2 linked regions of the Neurospora crassa OR74A genome follow. Each later gene encodes a partner of the first gene's protein in a complex. Links are inferred from orthologs where the notes say so. Each region holds a gene or a part of one and is shown in the gene's direction. Other genes may lie near its edges. The genes, in order: NCU03834 and hat-4.

Region 1 (4,523 bases):
GGTTTGTTCTGTTTCCTTTCCACCGCTGGTTGTCGTGCTCGTGATGATAGCAATGTGCCTGTGCCGAAAGATGCGACGTGATGCGACGCTGAAGCGATCGGATACGAATGGGTCGTGTCGGTAGTCGTCGTCACTTTGGCAAGAAGTTCGGGCGCTGGGTGGTGGGTTAACACTTGAGCAGCAAAGAAAAAAGTGCGAGGCAGGAGGTATTCACAGGTTGGAGGAATTAGGGGTCGACTCCGGGTCGATAAGGGTCTGGACAAGGCAGGAATAAGGCTGAGATGGGATGCCACCAGTGGTGGTTGACAAGTGGTCAAGGTCCAGGTAGCTCGGGCTGTCACTACTAGTCCATAGCTGCAGTGCGGCGCTCGATTGCCTCACCGAACAGCGGGGGCCTCCCATTCACGAGCACTCCTGGGCTGACACCAGCAGAGCAGCAGCCCGCCGCGGCTACTGTCGTCCCGCAGTCGGCAGGTCCCCTCTTCGGTTTGGCGGTCACAGACTGGAACGGAGGCAAAAGAGGGAGAGGCGGGCCGCGGCCTTTGGCTCGGCTGGGCAGGCGGACAGCGGGGGCAGGCACGAGGATCTATGCCGTGGATGGTGGGGTAAGAAGTGGGATGCACGGGCCACTTCTCCTCCTCATCTCGTATCAGCCCATTGATTGATTCATTTCAACACGCTGCCCCTTTCGACGGTCAGGGTTGATGTCTGTTGGAACTGTTCGCGTGCCTCCTCGTTGAAACCAAACCAACCATTGACCGTTTTAGGAATTCTTAAAGGAATGCATCGCATGTGTGCTGCTGCGCATATGATTTGCACCTCGGACTCCATCTTTATTTGGCTGCGGTGCACTGGTAACAGTCAAATGCCCAAATCTCCAGACAGTCACAAGTTGTCGTTGAATATTGAATGCGATATCAACGACATGGAGAGGAAGTGGTGCAGGATATCAGTCTTTTATTTGGATCCAACTTGGGTGTTGTCAGGTTGCGCACCGAATGCCCTCAGTTCAAGGAGTCTATGACGACCAGCAAATGCTTGCTTGCATCGTCATTCCACCAAGAGCCAAAGGGTTCTGATAGTAAGATTGAAAACAAGCAAAAACAGGTAACAAAAGAGTAGAATCAATGAGGCCGCGGTGTATCTCTGTAAGATTGCACGCCAATCCTTACCTTACATGACGATATTGCTCTTATCGGAGCGGGCTGGCACTGCCTTGGGCTCCAGTTGGCAGCTTGGCTTCTCAGGCGGGCAGTCGAGGTTGGAGTCGTCGGATCGGGTTCCTTGGAGGCGCGCCCGCGCTTCCAACTTTCAAACAGTGCAGTGGCCACTGGCAGTGGTGGTTGACTGGTTCGTTGCGAGTGGACGCGCAGACCATGGACGGCCCGGGCAGTGGGCACCACGCTTACGTTCCCTCCCTGAAAAGCCAGCAAAGCCAGCGCGACCAGCAAAACTTCGCCCAAAACCACCCCATTCAACCCCTCCCCCCGCCATTCAGGCTTCGCAAGAGCAGAAGCCCAGCCAATCGCCAAGACCGTGCATTGGCCGTCGAATCCGCCGCCAAAACAGCAAAATCTGCGCCGAAACCTCAACGACACTCCATCAAGGGACCAGATTTTGCCCATCAAAATATCACCCACGACGCGAGTTTTCCATCAAAAAACTCGACGGTTCGATTTCGCATGCAATCCCGCATGAGATAAAAAAAAATTTCGTCGGGGTTTCCCCAGGCCTTTCTGCCGCAATTGCCCACACCTTCACCATGGCGACCCGCAAGGTTCGGTACAAGAAACTGAGTGTCAAAACACAACTTGCGGTGCTCAGGGAGGATCAAATTGAAGCCTCTGAGTATGAATCACTCACTTCCGAAAACCAAATAGCCACCGGTGTCGAACAGGCCGAGGAAAATGTGAGTTCAACACCTATGTCCGATTGATCGCGACCGGGGTCACGTGCACGTGCACGTGCCACCCGTCTGCCGCGCCTCCATCACGCCTCCATCACCAACTCACCTTACCTACCTTCCATGCACACAGCCATGCATGTCACCGGTGCTGACCTTACCCCTTCTGTAACTAGGAATACCATCTTCAAGCTGTGCTCAAGGGGGCAGGAGTCGCCGCCGACCAGGAGATTCCTGTCCCCCCTCCACAGCAGAGTGAACTGGATTACGACCAGTTCTACCCTCAAAAGGTGGCCAAGACATCCACGTATATCCGTTTTTCCCAAACGGTAGAAGAATGCATCAGTTGCTTGTATGACATGACCGAGGACGATGAGACGTTCCTCAAGTCCTACAACATGAAACTGACCCCGTCTGCTCGTCTCTCCGAAGATGATTTCGAGAGGATCATGGACGTGTATGAGGACATGGCGGCGAACATAACGCCGTTCTCGGCCATAGACCAGACAGTGCCGTCGTATCAGGAGATGTTGCGAGGACTGGAGCCATTAGACAGCACAAAAGTCATGGTTCATGCCAAGCAGATATATGAGTACTGGAAGTCGCGCCGCGAAATCAGCAAAAACCGACCGCTCAACCCTACACTGAAATTCGAGACACATGCGGAAAGCGACGAGCTTGATCCCTACGTCTGCTTTCGCCGAAGAGAGATTCGTCAAACTCGCAAAACGAGGGCAAGAGATGTCCAGAGTGCGGACAAACTCAAGCGGCTGCGGAAGGAGCTGGAGGAAGGTCGTCAACTCATCCTGGCAGCCCACAACCGGGAATTGCTCAAGGCAGATATGCTCAAGGTAGAGCGAGCCATCTTCGATCAACGAGCCATCATCAAGGAGCAAAAACTCCGACTCGGCATCAGGACGGGCGACGAGGATCTAGTAAACCAAAAGGTTAGTCAAACGGCAAGACGTGCAAGACTTACATCAGCCAACGCTAACGCTTCACAACAGCCGCAAAAGAGGAAGGCTCCGGAGGCACCCTCAGCTCAAAGACCCCCTCCACCCCCCCAGATCCGTATGCCTGTGCGCCCCGATGGCCGTCCCGCAGAGTCAGATCTTGTCCAACTCTCAGATCGCCTTGCCGAGAAGAATGCGGAGCTCATCATCGAGATCGAGAAGAAGATTCAGAACCACATCGACTGGAACAAGAACTATGTCGACCTCACTGGCAAGCCGCTGTCTCCCGTTCAGGGCCCAAGACAAGATTTGGGCTTCAGACCTGCCAAGACGCAGTATCTCATGACGCCACCAGCGTCTGCATCCTCAGGATCCATGGATGAGCCCACCCCGATGGATCTTGATAAGCCCAAACCCAACCCACCACCACCAGTAAAATTCAGGGGCGTTGCCCAGGACGAACAATCATTGGCGCATCCACCCTCATATCGTCGTCGTATCGGCCGGTTGAACAGGTTGTGGATCGACCGTCGTGGTTTACCTAGTCCAGCCCGAGACCTCAGTGAAGAACAGTCCGATCGCTGGAAGTATGATCAGTCCTCTGATGACGAGGACGACGCGCCGGTGTATATGCTGGACCCCTTTGATACAAAGGCATTGAGGTACCGTGCTTCAATACCACTCCAGACGGTCACAAGACCTCCCCCACCGGTTATCAACCGGCAGTTCATCCCTCCGGGCGCCGTCCCACAACAACTTGCCCAATCTTCTTTTGCTCCGGGACAACCACAACCGCAATCACAACCTCAACCAAATCAATCACAATCTCTCCCTCTACCTCAACCACAACAACCAGTAGCACAGCCACAGCCGCAACCGCAGCCCCAGGCTCAACCGGTGTCATAAAATTGGCGTTTGTAGGAGTGTTGTGTTGTCATCTTTTTTAGATATCGTTTGGCTTTTTTCGCGGGCTGGTGGTCGAGCAGCCGAATAAACTTCGGAAGACCGCTGCTGTGTATACCCCTCAACTCTCGATTGATGCATTTAGCGATATGGGGCCAGGGCTAAAGAGAAGGATCTGGCCGGGGCGAGGCGTTTGGGTTGCGGCTTTTGCGTAGGTTTGGCGAAGTGGGGAACGGCTCATGTATATATGTAAACAAGTAGTCGTACCGATATCGTGTAGATGGCGGCGGATAGCTGAGACACGCGAGAAGCTGTGCAGCGACAACAGTAATGAGATACCAAAGCAGTAAAATACCACTTCTGGCTCCCATCAGTTGCTTCACGCGGTGTTGTATTGTGCAGTGTGACTGAACCACGAAAGTGGCTATGGCCATCAAGCGTGGAGGCTGGTCTCGATGTCTGTCAAGGCATCTTCGCTTCTGGAAAGCCTGGAGGGCGAACGAAGCCTTATAGACCGGGTGCGTCCGCGAGGTTGTTGCCCAGGGGAAAGCAGGAATGATCTCAGAGATGTTCCGAGCGTTTGGTCATCGGCAGCCCCGAGACAAGTGCTGCGAGCGTATGCATGTGCCACATTTGGGCTTAGGTAACACACGGTGCTGCCCTGGGCCGATGTGCGAATTGGTCGGAGGTGTGCGAGAATTTGCGAACCGGGTGGGCCAATAGGAAACCAGCAATCGAGCTGCGGTCCGACACAGGACGCTTCA
Region 2 (4,520 bases), on another chromosome or scaffold:
ATCCCTAATATCCCGATGCGGATGCTCAAACCCCAACACCTCCAAATCATGCTTGACATCATGACCCACCAATATCCGACCTTTCAAAAGGGCAGCCACAGTTGCTTGTACGGACTCGAACGATCGTGCGGACGCCATGTGGCGCTTGGAAATGCCTGATACATGCGTGCGCCAGTCGGTCACGAAAGCAGTGGGGCGAACGTACGAGTCGTAAATTTGGTGTCCGTGGAAGTCGACGATGGAGCATCGAGCGAGGACACTGGTGGCGCCCGAGGGACCGGTGCCGACCATTTCGCAGTCGATGGAGAGGTATTTGCCGAGCGTGTTGGACTTGGTTGCTTGCAGGATTAGTGCGAGGTCGGTGGTGGTGGAAGTGTCGAGTGTGAGACCGTTGGAGAGGGTGAGGGATGAGGGAAGGTCGGTTGGTAAGGGGAGGCCATTTTTGTTGCTTTTAGGGGAAGAAGAAGAATGGCCGGGGAGGGTGAGGCCTGCGTTGGGGATGGCGGGGGGGAGGGTGGAGAGGAGAGGGATGTGTGAAGAAGAAGAGGAAGAAGAGGTGCCGCGGAGGCCAAGGTTGTACGCTTCGGCGAGGGATTCAGAGGAGATGCCTTGTTCGTCGGCCCAGAGGTGGAGGGAGGGGAGGGTGCTGTTTGGGGAGGAGGAGGTGGTGGGCTTGGATTGGACGTTGCCGCCCATTTTTTCTTCTGTTGGTTTTTGGCTGCTGGGTTGAGACTGGGTTTGGGACTTTTGTCTTTTTGGCTTCTTGGAAGGGTTGGAGGCTTGTTGCTGTTGTTGACTCTCCTCGGCCTTGCGCTTGAGGGTTTCGGAGGAAATGGACTTTTTGGAAATGGCTTGCTTGAAAGCGGCTTCTTGGCTGATGGGAGCTGATTTGGTTGGTTGAGGGGCCTTGAGCTTTTCTTGCAACTTCTTCCAGTTGGAGGAGAGTTCCGGGGCCATGGTTGGTGACAGGAGGGTCTCCTGCCTTGGTGATTTTGATGGTGGTGGTGGTGATGGAGTGTTGAGTCAAGACAGACAAGTGAGGGTGTCACTGCCGATGAGGGATCACTTGTGGTATGTCCAATCACAAATTGGCGGCCGAGGTTATGTGGAGTCCAATTGGTGCTGAATTCTTATTTGGAATGAGAGAAAGTAAACAAAAGGTTGAGACAAACGGAAGATTTCCAGAAGGTGATAACTTTTTTGTATGAACGTGAAAGTGGATGTTGAATATGGGCCCCACTTTGGTGTTCACTTAAAAATTCAACTGGGGAAATCGGTTCCTGGACGATTGACAGGGTAGGCAAGCCATGCAGGGATCTGCCGCTGTGTCCCATTGCATCCCCGCTGAAATGACGGCCCAAACACGTGGGCTCGCCACTGAAGGACCCCTCCAAAACGTTCGGGAAGCGTCCACTGAAAGAGTCGCTGAACACTACAAAACACTTCAAGACTGACGTCGCGCGTCGCCCGTCAGATTGATCGCATTCAATCGCCCATCGTCCACAACCATCAAATCTTGTCGCAAACCATCGCAAGTTATCGACCGAATCATATACAGTTGGATCACACATAGCCGCCATCATGAGTCCCCCAGGTGGCGATGCCACTGTCGGCTCCGACGAGAAGCGACAGAAGGGCAAGGCGACGCCCGACACCATCAAGTATGTTTCCGTCCCATCATTGTCCACGGCACCCCCCATCGTCGTTGAAAAACCAGATACTAACACCACCAAACAGAATGGGATGTATTGCCATGGTGATGAAAGAAGGCCAATTACGACGAGCAGAGATCCTCAGTATCAAAGACACCAAGTCCGGCCGGCAATTCTACTGCAACTTTGACAACTTCAACAAGCGTCTCGACGAATGGGTGCCGGCCGCCAGAATCGATTTCGAGCAGGACGTCGAGTGGCCCAACCCGGACAAGGACAAGCAGAAGGACGCCAAGACCAAGAAAAACAACTCGACGGTATCCAAGAAGCAACCGTCCAAGAAGAACAACCAGAAAAAGGCCAGCAAGAGGGAGCAGTCAGTCGCATCGGACGGGCAGACACCACACCCATGGACCGAGTTTGTCGAAAGCCAGCCAGGGAAGAATAACAGGCAACGGGGGAAGACGGAAGATGGAACCGACGTCAACGCCAGTTTGGAGGTTGGTGGGGACAAGGGAGTCAAGAGGAAAGCCGACGAGATCGATATGGATGAGGACGAAATACCAGCCGCTAAGAAACAACGCCAGCCGTCTTTTTCCAGGGAACAAGAGATTGAAAAGTTGCGAACATCCGGCTCCATGACACAGAACCCTACCGAGATCTCGCGCATTCGGAATATCTCCAAGGTGGAATTCGGCCGCTACGTCCTCTTCCCGTGGTATTTCTCGCCCTACCCGCAGATCTTTGACCAAGAAGACTGCATCTACATCTGCGAGTTCTGTCTCTCGTACTACGGCGAGTTGAAATCCTTTGTGCGTCACCGACAAAAGTGCACTCTACACCACCCGCCCGGAAACGAAATCTACCGGGACGACTACGTCTCCTTTTTCGAAATCGACGGGCGACGTCAGCGCACCTGGTGTCGCAACCTCTGCTTGCTGTCCAAGATGTTTCTCGACCACAAAACCCTTTACTACGATGTCGACCCGTTTTTGTTCTACGTCATGACCACCCGCGACGACCGGGGGTGCCACATCATCGGGTACTTCTCCAAAGAAAAAGAGTCTACGGACGGCTACAACGTCGCCTGTATCTTGACCCTTCCGCAGTACCAACGCAAGGGATACGGTCGCCTGCTCATCCAATTCTCGTACGAACTGTCCAAAATCGAAGGCAAGCTCGGCTCGCCCGAGAAGCCCCTGTCCGATCTGGGTCTGCTGTCATATAGACAGTATTGGTCCGAGAACATCATCGATATCTTGCTCGGGTACAACGAGCGAAAGGAAGCTTGCACGATTGAGAACATTGCTGTTGCCCTGGCCATGACGACACAGGATGTGGAACATACGTTGCAGGCGCTCAAGATGCAGGTGTACCACAAGGGCGAGCACAAGATTGTGGTACCGGAGAAGCTGATCAAGCAGAGGGAGAAGAGCAAAGCGAAGCAAAAGAGGCTGATTGATCCCGAGAGGATCCAGTGGAAGCCACCGGTGTTCACGGCGCTTAATCGGACATGGGGGTGGTAGTTGCTCTCGCTCAGCAAATATTGAATGATACACCAAGACGACACACTCGTGACACCACCACACGGATTCATGACCCAATTAAAAGAAAACGAAACCATCAGCATTACGCCAACAAAAGAAGATCAATTCCTGAATCGATCAGATACTGGAAACCTTGCAGTAGTGTATGCAAACAGAATGGTCATTAACATGGCCGCAAAGTGCACTTGACCTTTGTTGGATTTTTACAATGGTTTCGTTGATTTATTGGGTCATGGATACAATAGGTGGTATGTCGTCTTGGTGGATCATTCAATATTTGGGGAGCGAGCGCTCTTACTGCTGGGATGTCTGTGTTATTCTCGTTGTAATAGTCATGAGAACAAGATTGCATGGGTAGCAAGCGGGTTGGTTAGTATGATATGGCGTTGGTTTTTGTTTTGGACGGGCACTTGGGGAAATGGCTTACAGGAGGGGGGGAAAAAGGAACACCATATGTATCACTATTACGGCCAAAAGCACCAGAATGGTTTGTCATTTCTTTACGAGTGATTAGGAATATAATTACCAGGATAGAGAAGCAGAGCCTAGTCATAATCTCTACTCATGATCAGCGAAAAAGCCTGTTTGCTACAGCACAAAATCTTGACGAAAGTTTAGCTCAAGATTCCCGACTTTACTATTGAGAGCATGGCTGCTTTGGACGTCATCAAACGTGGGTGTATTCCCCGATCTTACAGACCGCTTTCGCAGATTTGAAGCTTGTGACTGGTTATACCGGCTAGTCGTCGGAGATCTCCCGGGCCGCATTCGGTAGTGAGACCTCCAGACGTCACCTCATCCATTGCTTGTGTTCCGTCAGCCCCGTCCAGCCCCACACCTCCGGCCGGCCGGCCCCGCAACCTAGATTCCCCGCAATACGACATCATTCACGACGGCGATCACGACGGACAAATGGGTTAGGCTGAGATAAACTGAATGGTTTCACCACGGCATTTGAGATTCACTCGCTGCCAGGTTAATAACAAAGCTATGGTCCCAAAACCACCACCAACCTTATCTAGGTTCCACTCATCTCACCAACAACTCAACATTCCAACGTCTTCATCACTCCAAGTTAACATCAACACATCAACAACATTAACAACAACCACCGCCAACATGTCCCCCTCAACACCCCCCGCCCTCTCCGACCCCGACGTCCCAACCCCTCTCTCCCAACCCGGCGAAAAGAAACAAATCAACCTCCTCCGCGGCTGGCCCTCCCCCCACCTCCTTCCCCCCTCCCACCTTCTCTCCGCCAGCACCTCGCTCCTCACCTCTCCTCCCGAAGACGAACCCTCATCCAAATTTTCTTTCAACA

The links.
Region 2: NCU03834 (region 1) and hat-4 share a complex: the UniProt entries of both Schizosaccharomyces pombe proteins name them as parts of the nuA4 histone acetyltransferase complex. The link is inferred for Neurospora crassa OR74A from reciprocal best matches to the Schizosaccharomyces pombe genes epl1 and mst1.

What each region holds. Positions count from the first base shown.
Region 1 is NC_026505.1:2,562,949-2,567,471, forward strand, and holds the start of NCU03834 (histone acetyltransferase complex component Epl1), read left to right. Parts: upstream 1-1,460; 5' UTR 1,461-1,762; coding exon 1,763-1,909; intron 1,910-2,079; coding exon 2,080-2,850; intron 2,851-2,910; coding exon 2,911-3,762; 3' UTR 3,763-4,523. UniProt on the Schizosaccharomyces pombe protein: Component of the NuA4 histone acetyltransferase complex which is involved in transcriptional activation of selected genes principally by acetylation of nucleosomal histone H4 and H2A. The NuA4 complex is also involved in DNA repair.
Region 2 is NC_026504.1:5,716,917-5,721,436, reverse strand, and holds hat-4 (histone acetyltransferase esa-1), read left to right. Parts: upstream 1-1,438; 5' UTR 1,439-1,581; coding exon 1,582-1,661; intron 1,662-1,737; coding exon 1,738-3,178; 3' UTR 3,179-3,791; downstream 3,792-4,520. Other genes in the region: NCU05217 (RNA exonuclease 4), read right to left, coding at 1-957; NCU11146 (aminotransferase), read left to right, coding at 4,136-4,520. UniProt on the Schizosaccharomyces pombe protein: Catalytic component of the NuA4 histone acetyltransferase (HAT) complex which is involved in epigenetic transcriptional activation of selected genes principally by acetylation of nucleosomal histones H4, H3, H2B, H2A and H2A variant H2A.Z.